Linked DNA regions of Sus scrofa. The main gene of each other region encodes a partner of the protein of the gene in region 2 in a complex. Links are inferred from orthologs where the notes say so. Each region holds a gene or a part of one and is shown on either strand. Other genes may lie near its edges.

What was found. The genes of interacting proteins can lie anywhere in the genome.
Region 1: the proteins of SCN7A (region 2) and SCN3B are in contact, whole or in part, in a cryo-EM structure (PDB 7TJ9), measured with the Homo sapiens proteins. The link is inferred for Sus scrofa from reciprocal best matches to the Homo sapiens genes SCN7A and SCN3B. Residues at the interface, in NP_002967.2 of Homo sapiens: Arg269, Glu293, Tyr296, Leu298, Glu299, Leu305, Gln315, Cys316, Pro317, Glu318, Gly319, Tyr320, Asn922, Ile923, Thr926, Cys927, Lys929, Ile930, Phe939, Ile956, Tyr957, Asp959, Gln960, Ile966, Tyr970, Met973, Ile974, Tyr977, Ile978, Leu981; in NP_001035241.1 of Homo sapiens: Val25, Cys26, Val27, Glu28, Val29, Arg44, Ile46, Lys50, Arg51, Glu52, Glu53, Val54, Asn95, Gly96, Ser97, Asp99, Gln101, Asp102, Phe126, Phe128, Ala130, His131, Pro133, Val135, Thr154, Ser155, Ser158, Glu159, Met162, Leu165.

Annotation. Positions count from the first base shown.
Region 1 is NC_010451.4:50,528,190-50,535,705, reverse strand, and holds the start of SCN3B (sodium channel subunit beta-3), read left to right. Parts: upstream 1-3,273; 5' UTR 3,274-3,487; exon of another isoform or gene 3,488-3,625; intron 3,626-3,660; exon of another isoform or gene 3,661-4,481; 5' UTR 4,482-4,506; coding exon 4,507-4,561; intron 4,562-7,516. UniProt on the Homo sapiens protein: Regulatory subunit of multiple voltage-gated sodium (Nav) channels directly mediating the depolarization of excitable membranes.
Region 2 is NC_010457.5:72,944,678-72,951,615, reverse strand, and holds the end of SCN7A (sodium channel protein type 7 subunit alpha), read left to right. Parts: intron 1-3,447; coding exon 3,448-4,514; 3' UTR 4,515-5,469; downstream 5,470-6,938. UniProt on the Homo sapiens protein: Sodium leak channel functioning as an osmosensor regulating sodium ion levels in various tissues and organs. While most sodium channels are voltage-gated, SCN7A is not and lets sodium flow through membrane along its concentration gradient.

The DNA.
Region 1 (7,516 bases), on a different chromosome or scaffold from region 2:
TGTTCTCTCTATTGATTATGGCTTCAATGCTTCACTCTTTCCACACTGTCCTCACTCAGTCCTCCAGCCATTTATTCATTCATTCAGAATTCATAGAGCATCAAATATCTGCCTGGTACCAATCCAGGCATAGGGGTCCCACAGGGAACAGAGCAAACAAGGATGCTTTCATGGAGCTTACACCCTGAGAGGAAGAAACAGAAAATAAGCAAGTACATAAATGTAAAATAAGATAATTATGGATAGTGAGAGAAGAAGGGAAGAGCCAAAAAGTGGGTAATGAGATAGAGAGTAGCTTCAGGTGTGGGAAGTGGGTAGGAAGTTTAGAAAGTGTGTCTGAGAAAAAGTCACTTGAGGCAAGACCAGAATGATAAGAAACCAGCCATAGAATGAAGAGCATTCTGGGTAGAGGGCAGGTCTGGTGCAAAGGCTCTATTATGGGAAAGAACTTGATAAGTTTGAGGTACATTTTTTAAAAGTCAAGTGTAACCAGAACATTGTGGACAAGACAGAGAATGGTAGACATGAGTGTCAAGAGATAGGCAGGGCTCAGAGCAGGCCTTGCTAGACCACAATGAGGATTCTAGATTTTACTAGTTTATTATTCAGTGAGATGCTATTGAAGAGCTTTAAGCAAGAAAGGTGCATGATATCTTGGAATACAGAGCGTGTCTGGCTACTGTTTATAGAGTAGAAACTAAGTTTCACTATCAACTCTAAGGGGAAGATAATCATCAAATTGGAAAAGGTTAAAAAAAAGCCCCAAAGTCAAACAAATAACAACAGCCCCCTCCAAAAAAACCCAAAAAAAACCAACAAGAGCAAAAAAGGATTGAAATCGAAATGGCAGAAAGAAAGAGGAAAGAGTAACTTAATTCAAATGAGTTAAAACCTCTCAGAACAAAGCCAGATGTACTTTAGGGAACTTAAGGTACTTGTGAAAGTGACTGAACGTTACTGCCAAAAATCAAAGGAAATGTCAGAAGACTGAAAAGACCAAATGCTCCTGTTTTCAATAGAGGAGAGACAGGGGAAGCGGTTTACGCAAACTAGAAGCAAGTACATTGTTCTTAAAATCTCATGTAAGGTTCTCAAAGTGACTGTATAAAATGGGGTTTGTAAACATTTAGAGAAGAACACTGTGATGAAAGACAATCGGCACAAATAGGCATAAGAAAAACATGTAAGATTAAGCTAGTTCCTGCTGCAGTAGTGTAGTGGTTGATAGAATTACCAGACTGAAAATATATCATTCTTTGTATTTGGGTGAGGCTTTCAATAAAATCATAGAATCTCAAAGATGATTGGAACTTTATCAATAATCTATTCCTACTTTCTAACCTACAGAATTTTTTTTTTCTACAACAGCCCATTAATTCTTTGGATAACAACTACTTGAACAGAATAAATGGTAATTCATTCTAGTTTGGAATAACTTGAAATATATTGATGAAAATCTGTTTCTGTATAAATATAAACCTTAGATCCTACCTCTCCTCTGGATCATTATAAGTCTAATTCGTCTCATATATACCCCTTGTTTTCAATTTTCAGAATGTGTGAGGGAGGAAAAAGTAGGGAGATTTGCTTGGGTATTTATTTGTCTAATTAGTCAAACTAGAGTGAGGTCTCTAAAACCATGCTAAAGAACTCGTCTTTGTTTTTTCTGTCCATTAAAAAATATATATCTATATTTGGGTCAAGTGATCATCAAGCCAGAAATAAAACAAAACTAGAGATGTCAGATGATTAAATCTACATTCAATACAAGTGTTACTAGCAGGTGATAATTGGTTAAAACTAATACATTTTAACAGCAGTAATTACAGAGGTTTTCTCCCAAGATTCCCTGTATAAGTACAGGATGACTTAGCAACAGGTTGAGTGAAAAATACTTAAGGATTTTAATTGACCGTAGCTCATTATAAGTGAGCTATGGCAAATGTGGCTGAAGAGACATAGGCAAGTGTGGCCATGATTCCTCTGGATTTATGCTGGTCAGTCCTCCACAGGAAGCATTAGCTCCTGTTCTGGATGTCACTTGGAGAACCATGCAGACAAACTAAAAATCCTTCCGAGAAAGTGCCAGGGAGTTGAGGGTTGGAAACAACTAAGAAATATGCTGGAAGAAACTTATGAAGCTTAGCTCCCCCAAAAAGTCTGGAGTGGGGTGTGGGGAAAGCATAGTGTTCTCTCTCTCTCTCTTTTTTGTCTTTTTAGGGCTGCTCCCATGGCACATGGAGGTTTCCCAGGCTAGGTCGAATTGGAGCTGCAGCCACTGGCCTACACCGCAGCCACAGCAACGCCAGATCCGAGCCATGTCTGCAACCTGTACACCACAGCTCATGGCAACGCCGTATCCTTAATCCACTGAGCAAGGCCAGGGATCGAACCCTCATCCTCCTGGATACTAGTCAGATTCGTTTCTGCTGAGCCATGATGAGAACTCCCAAGCATAGCTGTTTTAAGGAAAACAGTTTGCGGACAACTTAATGGAGTTTGCGGAGGAAGGAGGAGTGTACAGAATTTGATGGAATATAAAGAACGTTTTTAAACATTAGAAGGGACTGACTCCTGAGGTAGTAAGCTCTCATCACTGACAAAGGCCGAGCATGTGTATCAGGAATGTCCTTGGAGGATTCAAGAATTGCAAAGGAAGTTGAATTAAGTCGACTTTTAACTTCTCACCCAAGTCTAACACACTGTGATTCTTCGGTCTTCAAAGAAACATAGAGTTTATGGCCTGGTGGCTCCCTGCCCAGGAAGAAGGACATTCAGTTGCTCTGTGACATATTAGGAGAGAGAATTTCCTGAGGATGGTTCACTTACAGTCAGCTGTTCTCTGCTGTTCTTTTTTGGTATATCAGTGTCAAACTTCCCCTTTTGGAAAGGGAGCAGTAGGGAATGAGAAGGGAGAAGTTCTTGTATTAATCTTTCACTTCAGTTCCAGGCATTCCTAATCTATTATGTCAATTTGAGTTAATAACTAAATTTAAAGGGTCAGGTTTCCCTGCCAGAGATGGGGTGGGGCATTGAAACAGCTGCTAGGCACTAGGGTGAGGCTAATGGTTGGAAGAAACCAAACCACAGCATGTTTTTAAACTTTAAAAAAAAAGTGATTAGCTCAAGAGGGAGTTTCCCACCTCCAAGTGTTGCACTGATATTTAATTCACCTCACCGGGTGAGGAGGTGAACGTGGAAACAGGTGTGCCGCACTCCTACCCCACTTCTAAGCAGATATTATTTTTCTGCGTTCAGTGCGCCCAGAACCAATTAATCAAGGCTAGACAAAGGATATACCCGGAGAACAGGAGGGGATGGGGTCGGGGGAGAGAATCTGGGAGCCATGTACAGTGTACATTGCAGATGACATCATTGCCTGAAAGAGATTCGGCCCTCCTCTTCCCGGAGCTGGAGGCGAGCATGTCTGTAGAGGAGCAGGAGTGGTGAATTGGTGGGAGGAGGCGTGCCCGTGTTGAGAGGAGAGGTGTGAGATGTGACAGGGAGACCTGGAGACAGCCCGCAAGCAGAGAAATCTCGGGGGCTGAGGTGTTTGCGCCGCTCAGAGCTCCGCCCCCAGCTCGGCAGCCGGAATCGGCCCTGGGAGGGGCACGCCTGTTTGGGGGTGGGGAGTGTTGCACGAGGGGGTGGGTCTGTGGTGGCTGTGGGGGTGGAGAACCGCCTGCGCATGTCAAGGCTGACAGAGCATACACGGTCAAGGGGGCCTGGAGGAAGGGCAGCTGGTCACTAGCCACACAGGGTCGGGGCCCCGGCTCGATTCCCGGGAGCTCCGGGAAAGGGGCCCACCCCCACCCCACCGCCCCACCTCTGAAATCGCCAGCCAAACAGGAGCTTCCTCCTCCTTCCCGGCCCCTCCGGACCTCCCCGGGAAGCCTCAGCGGGTGTGGACGGGAACGAATTTTATAGCTCAGACGGCGGCCCCGGAGGCTTCGGGTGTGAGGGCACGCCCAGCTGGAGAAGCCGGCTAGGGCGGAGGAAGCTGGAGCTCCCGGGTCTGGGTGGATCCAAGGTCGGAGCGTAGCTATTCGTAGGGAGGTGAGAGGTGGATCAACATGGACCCCTTCGACAGCCCAGCCTCCTAGAGCCGGCCTGCTGCTCACTTCGGAGCTGAGCTTTCCCCGAGGCGCAAACAAGAGAAGCAGCGGAGCAACTGAATTGGAAGTTCCGGGGTGGGCGGGGAAGGTACTGTCCGTGGTGCTGAGCCGGATCCCAGCAACGGGCTCCAGGGAGAGAGGCGCGCCAAGCTGCTGATCGGCTCCCTCGAATGAGGGCGGTCTGTAGGGTGGCTTGGAGCTGAAACCCCCGCCCGGCTCAAGAAGCCCGCAGAGCTTCCCCGGTCACCGGCACTTGGCCATTATTTCAGTCAGAAAGTCGCCCCCTTGGGGCAGTTCGTCCCAGAGGGTTTCCTCGAAAGTATCCGAGAGGGAGCAGTTGTTGACCCAGGGAATCTCTCTGTTTAGCCCAGGAAGCCACCTGCCGAAGAAGATGCCTGCCTTCAACAGCTTGTTTCCCCTGGCTTCCCTCGTGCTCATCTTGTGGGGTAAGTACTGGCACCCTGCCATGCGACATGCAGGTAACAGTAATAATGCTAACAAGAATAACACTGATGTCGTTGGTGACAAAAAAAGGAGCCTGGTTGGCTTCCCTCTGTGCATGTCTGCCAGACATGGGATCCAGAGGGGTTCCATGAGAGCTGGGATTTTGAGATGGGAAAAAGGCCTCCCCAGTGCCCTGCTGCTTTATTCCTAAACCTCCCTTGGTGGTTTTTCCACCCTTCCTCCTGTTCCTGTTAATTCCAAAGTATTCTTTCCCTTTCTCTTTGCTGAAAGAGAATGCAATCACGTTCATTATAAAAAAATCTTGGTTGCAATTAATTTCGTTTCTTAATGTGGAGTCATTGGAGCTTCAAATTAATTTTTATGTATTAAAAAACCAGAGGCATGTATTTTGAGAGTGGAAATAGTTGTTGATCTACCTGTTTAATTTTAATAAGGGAAACAGGTTTCAGCCATTTGCAGCTACATATTAGATATATAGGCACCTGAGAATTGTATCTTCTTTTTCCTAAACATGTGGAGCTAAGGTGCTTTGGTGTTTGGGGAGCTGGTTTTTTTTTTTTTTTTTTTTTTTTTGCCTTCAGCAATAAATAGGTTTTTGTTTGTCTGCCGTGAAGGGGTGAGGTGACCTTCTCTCTCCAAATAAGGGAGTCCTATACTTGTAACAGTAAGGCTGAGCAGAGTGGTATTAGAGATGGGCTTGGAGTGGGGTGCCTGCATGTGTGTAGTGGGAGTTAATGAGTCTACATGTATGTCTGAATATGCGATTGAGAAAATGCTTTACTGTGTATCCCTCAGTGTTTGAATGTGTGTGCTAGTGTATGTCTGAGCATGTTAGTATAGGCATCGAAATGGATTGATGAGGATGTAGTACTGTGTGTGTGTGTGTGTGTGTGTGTGTGTGTGTGTGTGTGTGTGGTGTGTATTTGTGTAGTTCTGGGCATCTCAGTCTTGGTGACTTTGATTAGATCCTCAGGTCAAATATATTTGATATATTGCTTTACATAATCTTAGCTACCTTCCTCTATGCTAAAAATAAAAAACCAGGATAATTAGATGTGAGTGTGCATACCTGCCTTATTAAAACTGGGGATGTGTTCTATGGTTGGCATGGAACTTAGTATGCCAGTGCAGTGGCAGATATGCTGATCAGATTTGAATCGCCTCTTTACCTTAGTATCACTTTATTAAGCCTCCAGGACTAACTATGGTTGCCAGCATTATCTGGATTTTGCATGTGACCAGAAGCAGAGCCAAGCTTCCTGTTGAACAAAATGCCGATGAGACAGGCTGGGAAGGACAAAGGGGGAGAGTAATGCCAGTCCCAAAGGCAGACTCACCGCCATCCATCCCCAGTAGAGTAGACCAGACCTGAAGATAAAGCAGACATAATAGGTTGCCAATGACCTCACCTGTCTTGAGGACTTAAGGCTGAGATTTCCCCAGGGGAGGCTAAGACTAGGGACCTGAGGCTTAGGAGCAGTGAGTTTAGCTGCATGAGAAAGAATGTGGGTAAAGCAATGGGAGATGATGTAGAGAGGGTTGGTGTGAGATTCTACAGGGTCTTTCTTCCCAAATTCTAATCTAAGTTTTTAGCATCCTTGCCTGAATTCTAGTAGAGGGGGAGAACATACTATAGTCTAAACACCTTTTGAGAATTTACAAAGCCTAGATTGGAGTCTTAGCTCTGCCACTAGCTTGCGATGTAATAACCTTAGAATAGCTGGTTCCTCATATACACGTTTTTTGGAGATACGTAAGTTTGGCAGTTGGGGCAGATGATATCTAACATCTCTTAACTACACAATTGGAATGTTAGGGAAATATTTACAGAATACTGCTAAAATTGGCAGAGTGCCCAGTCTTCCTCCCTGATCCTCAGTCTCCCTGCAAAAAACCTTTGGAAGAAGTGTATATATTACACCTATCCTTGTCCATCCTCAGCTTTTCAACATTGGCTCACCAAATTCAGAAGCCACAGAAGGGAAAGAGGGATGATTCAGGAAGCCTTACCATTAAATGTAAGAGAGAGGGCCTTGCTTCACGAATGCAGTTTCATTTTATTTGCATGTAATTCCAGTGTTGGAAAGCACTTTGCTTAGATGCCCTCTCCCTCTCCAAGTTGATTTGTCACATGATGCAAATATGAATGGAATGGAATCTTGTCCTTTTTTTTTTTTTTTTTTTGGCTTTTTGTCTTTTTAGGGCCACACCCACGGCATATGGAGGTTCCCAGGCTAGGGGTCCAATCGGATCTGTAGTTGTTGGCCTACGCCACAGCCACAGCAACTCCAGATCCGAGCCATGTCTGCAACCCACACCACAGCTCACGGCAACCCGCTGAGTGAGGCCAGGGATTGGACCGGAAACCTCGTGGTTCCTAGTCGGATTTGTTTCCACTGCACCACAATGGGAACTCTTTTTTTTTTTTTTTTTTTTTTTTGGTCTAGAGACCATTCTTCTATTTTCTGCATGAATTGAACAAAATTCTCTCATTTCCTTCAATAAGTATATGGTAATAATAGTAATCCTATGCTTCCCTGGTGCTTTACAGTTTACAAAGCAATTTTCAGCCTATTACTTCTTTTGGCCCCCATATCAATCCTATGGTGGTATTCAGGAAAGGTAGATTATTTCCAATTTAGAGATGAGAAAACGAGTACAGGGGAGGGGAAAGGACTTTCTAGAGGACTTTTGCCTCTTGATTTCAATCTCCCAGAGCTTGTTCTAGCTCCTCTTATGGACACATGTGATGCTATGCAGGATTGCCAGATGGGCACTGGTCCTCTCATTCCTCTTTGAAGCCACCTTTCCACCCCTCTCTCATGCCATTGCCTTCCCTAGAGCCCTACTCATTCTTTACCTCCTAGTGTCTGCTCTGCTCTTCCTCTCCAAGTTCACTTCCCCAGTTGTCTGTTGTGTTGGAAATATTTTTCTCT
Region 2 (6,938 bases):
TAGGAAAGCCAAAGACTGAATGATTAGCCTTTCAATGGGTTGTGGATGGTAGGTGCTCGGATGGAAAGGGTGAAGGTAAGCCATGTGCTAAAGTCTCCAGTGAATATAAATGAGGAGGAATGAATAGATCACAGAGCTGAGGAATGATAGGAGATGGTATAGTTGAATGGCATGATCTACAAACTGTCAAAGATTTCTTTCTTTTTTCTTTATAAAATTATCTGGAAATCACATTGGAAGGAAAGAAAAATGCTTGCTTTATCTTTCTATCTTGAGAACTATGGAATGGGAAAAAATGAGCTGTCTGTGCTTAAAGAGTATTTGCTAGGGAAATAGTATCCTCAAGATAGAGTCAGATTTTAGGTAAGAAAGGCTATGAAGAAAATTTAGAGGTGAGGAAGTTAAAACATGTTTACAATTAAATGGGGAAACCTCCTTCATGATGGAAGACTTTGGAAGATTGAGGAGAAAAGAAAATTTGAGTCAGAGCATAAGGTTTGCTAAAGCACTGTGGAAATGAGGATATCCATAAGATAGAACATCAGAGAGAATGCCATCATTGACAATTGACAGTGACTGAATTAACAGAAATGTGAGACATGAACCTTTCAGATTCAACAAACTTACCATCTCATTTAGAAGCTTCATGGGATTTTCCCCTCCTCCACCTTCTCAACTCAAAATGTGACACACAATCTTCAGCACTTCCAGAGAGCATCCCTTATTTTTTTTTTATTAACTACAATTTCACCTTGTGTTCGTTATCTCATTCCCATAGTTCCCCCCATTCTACACTGCCAAAAAGAAAAGTTCTAGGCAAAGACTAACTTATTCAATTCATATTTAAAGCTCCTAAGGGCCCAGAAACTATTTGTGGACTAAATAAGTTAAATTACAACCTGTGAATCACTGAATGCCAAATATTTTTGTAATTACATTTATCAACAAGTCTGTCTTGCATTATTTTTTTTATATTTTTTTTTATTTTCCCACTGTACAGCAAGGGGGTCAGGTTATCCTTATATGTATACATTACAATTACATTTTTCCCCCACCCTTTCTTCTGTTGCAACATGAGTATCTAGACAAAGTTCTCAATGCTATTCAGCAGGGATCTCCTTGTAAATCTATTCTAAGTTGTGTCTGATAAGCCCAAGCTCCCGATCCCTCCCACTCCCTCCCCCTCCCATCAGGCAGCCACAAGTCTCTTCTCCAAGTCCATGATTTTCTTTTCTGAGGAGATGTTCATTTGTGCTGGATATTAGATTCCAGTTATAAGTGATATCATATGGTATTTGTCTTTGTCTTTCTGGCTCATTTCACTCAGGATGAGATTCTCTAGTTCCATCCATGTTGCTGCAAATGGCATTATGGCATTCTTTTTTATGGCTGAGTAGTATTCCGTTGTGTATATATACCAGCTCTTCCGAATCCAATCATCTGTCGATGGACATTTGGGTTGTTTCCATGTCCTGGCTATTGTGAATAGGGCTGCAATGAACATGCGGGTGCATGCATCTCTTTTAAGTAGAGTTTTGTCCGGATAGATGCCCAGGAGTGGGATTGCGGGGTCATATGGAAGTTCTATGTATAGATTTCTAAGGTATGTCCAAACTGTTCTCCATAGTGGCTGTACCAGTTTACATTCCCACCAACAGTGCAGGAGGGTTCCCTTTTCTCCACAGCCCCTCCAGCACTTGTTATTTGTGAATTTATTAATGATGGCCATTCTGACTGGTGTGAGGTGGTATCTCATGGTAGTTTTGATTTGCATTTCTCTTATAATCCGCGATGTGGAGCATTTTTTCATGTGTTTGTTGGCCATCTGTATATCTTCTTTGGAGAAATGTCTATTCAGGTCTTTTGCCCATTTTTCCATTGATTGATTGGCTTTTTTGCTGTTGGGTTGTATAAGTTGTTTATATATTCTAGAGATTAAGCCCTTGTCAGTTGCATCATTTGAAACTGTTTTCTCCCATTCTGAAAGTTGTCTTTTTGTTTTCTTTTGGGTTTCCTTTGCTGTGCAAAAGCTTTTCAGTTTGATGAGGTCCCATGGGTTTATTTTTGCTCTAATTTCTGTTGCTTTGGGAGACTGACCTGAGAAAATATTCATGATGTTGATGTCAGAGAGTGTTTTGCCTATGTTTTCTTCTAGGAGTTTGATGGTGTCCTGTCGTATATTTAAGTCTTTCAGCCATTTGGAGTTTATTTTTGTGCATGGTGTGAGGGTGTGTTCTAGTTTCATTGCTCTGCATGTTGCTGTCCAGGTTTCCCAGCAATGCTTGCTGAATAGACTTTCTTTTTCCCGTTTTATGTTCTTGCCTCCCTTGTCAAAGATTAATTGACCATAGGTGTCAGGGTTTATTTCCGGATTCTCTATTCTGTTCCATTGGTCTGTCTGTCTGTTTTGATACCAGTACCACACTGTTTTGATGACTGTGGCTTTGTAGTATTTCTTGAAGTCTGGGAGAGTTATGCCTCCTGCTTGGTTTTTGTTTCTCAGGATTGCTTTGGCGATTCTAGGTCTTTTGTTGTTCCATATAAATGTTTGGATTGTTTGTTCTAGTTCTGTGAACAATGCCATGGGTAATTTGATAGGGATTGCATTGAATCTGTAGATTGCTTTGGGTAGTATGGCCATTTTTACAATATTGATTTTCCCAATCCAGGAACATGGAATATCTTTCCATTTCTTTACATCTTCTTTGATTTCTTTGATTAAGGTTTTATAGTTCTCGGCATATAGGTCCTTTACCTCCTTGGTCAGGTGTATTCCGAGGTATTTGATTTTGTGAGGTACAATTTTAAAAGGTATCGTATTTTTGTATTCCTTTTCTAATATTTCATTGCTGGTATACAGAAATGCAACTGACTTCTGAATGTTAATCTTATATCCTGCTACTTTGCTGAATTTATTAATCAGTTCAAGTAGTTTTGGGGTTAAGTCCTTAGGGTTTTCTGTGTATAGTATCATGTCATCTGCATACAGTGTCTGTCTTGCATTATAATTAGCTTATATGTATACTTCTACTCTTTATATTATATGGTCTCTGCAGACAGGAGTCATGTTATTCATCTTAGCATATTTTCATGACACTTTCATTAAGTATCCAATAAAGCTTGGGTTGAAATAAATTTCTTGATCTAACTGCAATCAGAAAAATATGACTACTGTTCTATATTATGGATTCATTCTATCTGTGATTCCTGAAGTGCTTGACTGATAATACTCTTAAAATGATGGTAGAAATAATTCCCTTCCAAATTTTGCTAGATACTCTGAGCATTGCCACAGTTAGTATTTGGCTATCCCAAACTTTCATATGTGCTAAATGTTATATTGGAAGGATTAATAAGATTACTTTAGCATATAGGACAAAACCAATGAAATGTGAAATAATTTATATTCCTCTAAATAATTATATGGCCTGCTTTCCCTCTATCCAGGACTATTTCTGCCTCTGACGGTAGGATATTACCTTGTACCTCCTTCCCTTGTGCAACTGATACTTCTCTCACGGATCATCCACATCCTGCGTCCTGAGAAAGGACCAAAGATGTTCCATGATCTGCTGCTTCCTTTGATGCTGTCACTCCCCGCATTGTTGAACATCAGTCTTCTCATCTTCCTGGTCATGTTTGTCTACGCCATCTTCGGAATGTACAGTTTTGCCTATGTTAAAAAGGGAGGTGGAATTAATGATGTGTCCAACTTTGAAACCTTTGGCAGCAGTATGCTCTGTCTTTTCCAAGTTACAGTATTTTCTGGTTGGGATCAAATGCTTGATGCAATTTTCAACAGCAAATGGTCTGACTGTGATCCTGATAAAATTAATCCTGGGACTCAGGTTAGAGGAGACTGTGGTAACCCCACAGTTGGGATTATTTATTTTGTCAGTTATATCCTCATATCATGGCTGATCATTATAAACATGTACATTGTTGCTGTCATGGAGTTTTTAAATATTGCTTCTAAAAAAAAAGCCAAGACATTGAGTGAAGATGATTTTAGGAAATTCTTTCAGGTATGGAAGAGGTATGATCCTGATAGAACCCAGTATATAGACTCTAGCAAGCTTTCCGATTTTGCAGCTGCTCTTGATCCTCCTCTTTTCATGGCAAAACCAAACAAGGGCCAACTCGTTGCCATGGATCTTCCCATGGCTGTTGGGGACAGAATTCATTGCCTTGATGTCTTACTTGCTTTAACAAAGCGAGTTATGGATAAAGATGTGAAGATGGAGAAAGTTCTTTCAGAGATAGAATCAGGGTTTATGTTAGCCAACCCTTTTAAGATCACATATGAGCCAATTACAACTACTCTGAAACGAAAACAAGAGGCAGTCTCAGCAACTATCATTCAACGTGCTTATAAAAGTTACCGTTTGAGGCAAAATGACAGAAACACACCAGACAGTCATGTGATAGACAATGACAAGGAAGTCCAGATTATCAAAGAAGATTCTGATTTTGAAAAGGCTGAGGGAAAGGCAACAATTCAAAGTCAAATCTAATCCCACACTATCTTTTCACCTTCTTTGCATATCCTGCAAATGTTAAAAATTTAAATCAGAAATAAAAGCAAAGATCAGAGAAAGAAAATATTTTACTTAATAATCAATTGTTTACAACCCATAGCAGATAATCTTGTACTCACAAGATCCCATGCCCAGTTCACTTTTACCTCTGTATATTCAGTCTAGCCAAGACAACCCCTTACTATCACTGGAGAGTTAAACTGGGTTAAAATTGTCATTTGATAACCCAGTGCTTGTTTTCTCTGTATGGCTTACATGATATGCACTTCTTCTGGAGGATGGGGGAGGTAGTGGCTGCAATTAGTAGCAAAAGGACTTTCTTATATATTTTATGTCTGCTTTAACTTGATAGATTCAAGTCACCACTGATAGGACTTAAGTTCCAAATAAACAAGTACTTTCTTAATGTGGGGTGGTGTTTAAAAAAAAAATTGTACAGTGCTACCAGCCATTAAATCATAAATTTGCCTAAACAGATGGCAATCAGGGGAAGAAGAAATACAGTTCTTAGAAAGTGCCTTGGAGATCAGTCACACAGACTCTTGGGGTGATTCAAACCACTTTTGAAAAAGATTAATTAGAGCTTAAGTTCTGTTTCTGATTGCTTTTGTTTTATTTTCTTTTTGATAACTGTGGATTAAGGTTGTTTCATTTTTCATTGTGGTTTCTTATCTTTGGCTAGTTCCAGCTAAGGTCCAGCTCTTTAACAGAATGGATTCCTACAATAATCAGCATAGAGGAAACTATAGTTATGGTCTACATTTTTTAAATTTTCTTATTTCTCATTGGGAAACAGTGGCCTCTTTAAAGTACTTTTCACTGTACTTTATTTTTTTTTATAACTTTGAGAAAAAAGTGATCACTAAAACTATGTGGACTCAAATAGGAGATCAAAGTGTGAGTTTATTGGTTGTGGTGTTTTATAACGTTAGTGAATGCAAATTAGTTTGCACTGATTTATTTTTCCAAGTTTTTTTTGTTGGTTTGTTTTTATCACGTACATAATAACTCTGTAAAAAGTTTTATGTTTGAAAATTTTTAAAGTCCTAAACATTAATTTTCACTAGTAAAATTGTTTCTTAAGGATAGGCACAAATATGAAGAAAGCATAAAAATGCAGTCACTTGCATCCCTGTAGTCTGAGATTCTGATATTTCTTCCATTTGTATTAAGATTGATTTCAATGTGCCTACAAAGTCCTAAAGGATTCAAAAAGAAAATATATATACTCTTGACTTAAATGACGTTTTAAATATGTTGTATGACATTCAGTATCACTTAAATATCAGCAATTGTATTTTATTATGAATGCATGATCCCGATTGAGCCTTAACTATTATAATCTATTTCTGCTGCTCAGAAATGTATTAACCTGACCAAGATGCCTTTGGGGACCCCCCCCCCAAGCAAATGTAATTTCAGGGTTCTGTTTCTTTCAATAAGTGTTCCTTCCTTCTCTCCTCCCCTTCTCCATCATGTGTTGGAGACCAGTGAGGAGTCAGTACTAATTTAGGGGCATGGTAAGAGCCAGTGCTTTATCTAAGCTTCTCAGTTTTCTATTTCTTGGAAATGCTTTGATGTGGAAACTGCTTCAAATATTTAAACTTAACTTGCTTCTGTAAATTCCATAAAGATTATGAACTGATTTTAGTTTGAAAATTGTATCTTTTAATTGAAATCATTTGCCATTAACCTCCCAAAAACTATGTAAAGAATTATTTTTAACAAAGTCTTACAATATATTCTACTTTTTAGATACTAAAGAAAATAATAAATCTAACCTGTTAACCACACTAAACTTTGGTTCTTTTTCTTTGGTAAATTAGGTTTGTAACTTTGTATAATAAGAATATTTTATTTTATTTTATTTTGCTTTTTAGGGCCACACCTGTGGTATATGGGAGTTCCCAGGCTAGGAGTCGAATCAGAGCTGTAGCTACCAGCTTATGGCCACAGCAATGCAGGATCCGAGCTGCATCTGTGACTTATACCACAGTTCACAGTCAACACCAGATCCTTAGCCCACTGAGCCAGGCCAGGAATGGAACCTGCGTCCTCATGGATACTAGTAGGGTTCGTGTCTGCTAAACCACAACAGAAACTCCCTAAGAAGAACATTTTAAAATGAGCCTTACATTAAAGTTTTTTCATTTAGGCTCAAAATTTAAAACTGAAAATGCTTGTGCTTCCTTTGGATTAACTTAATTTTGTAAAATAAATAAATCTTAGGAAGCTTACCAGAGACTCTTAACGCACTGACAAAATGTAGAAAGCACTCCTCAATTAAATCCTAAGTTTACTAGATGTATCTTCATATTATTAGAATTTGCTTTGTGGAAAATAATGCTGAAATTAAATTTATTGGTATGGTACTATTTATCAATACCTGCTTCTTTAAAA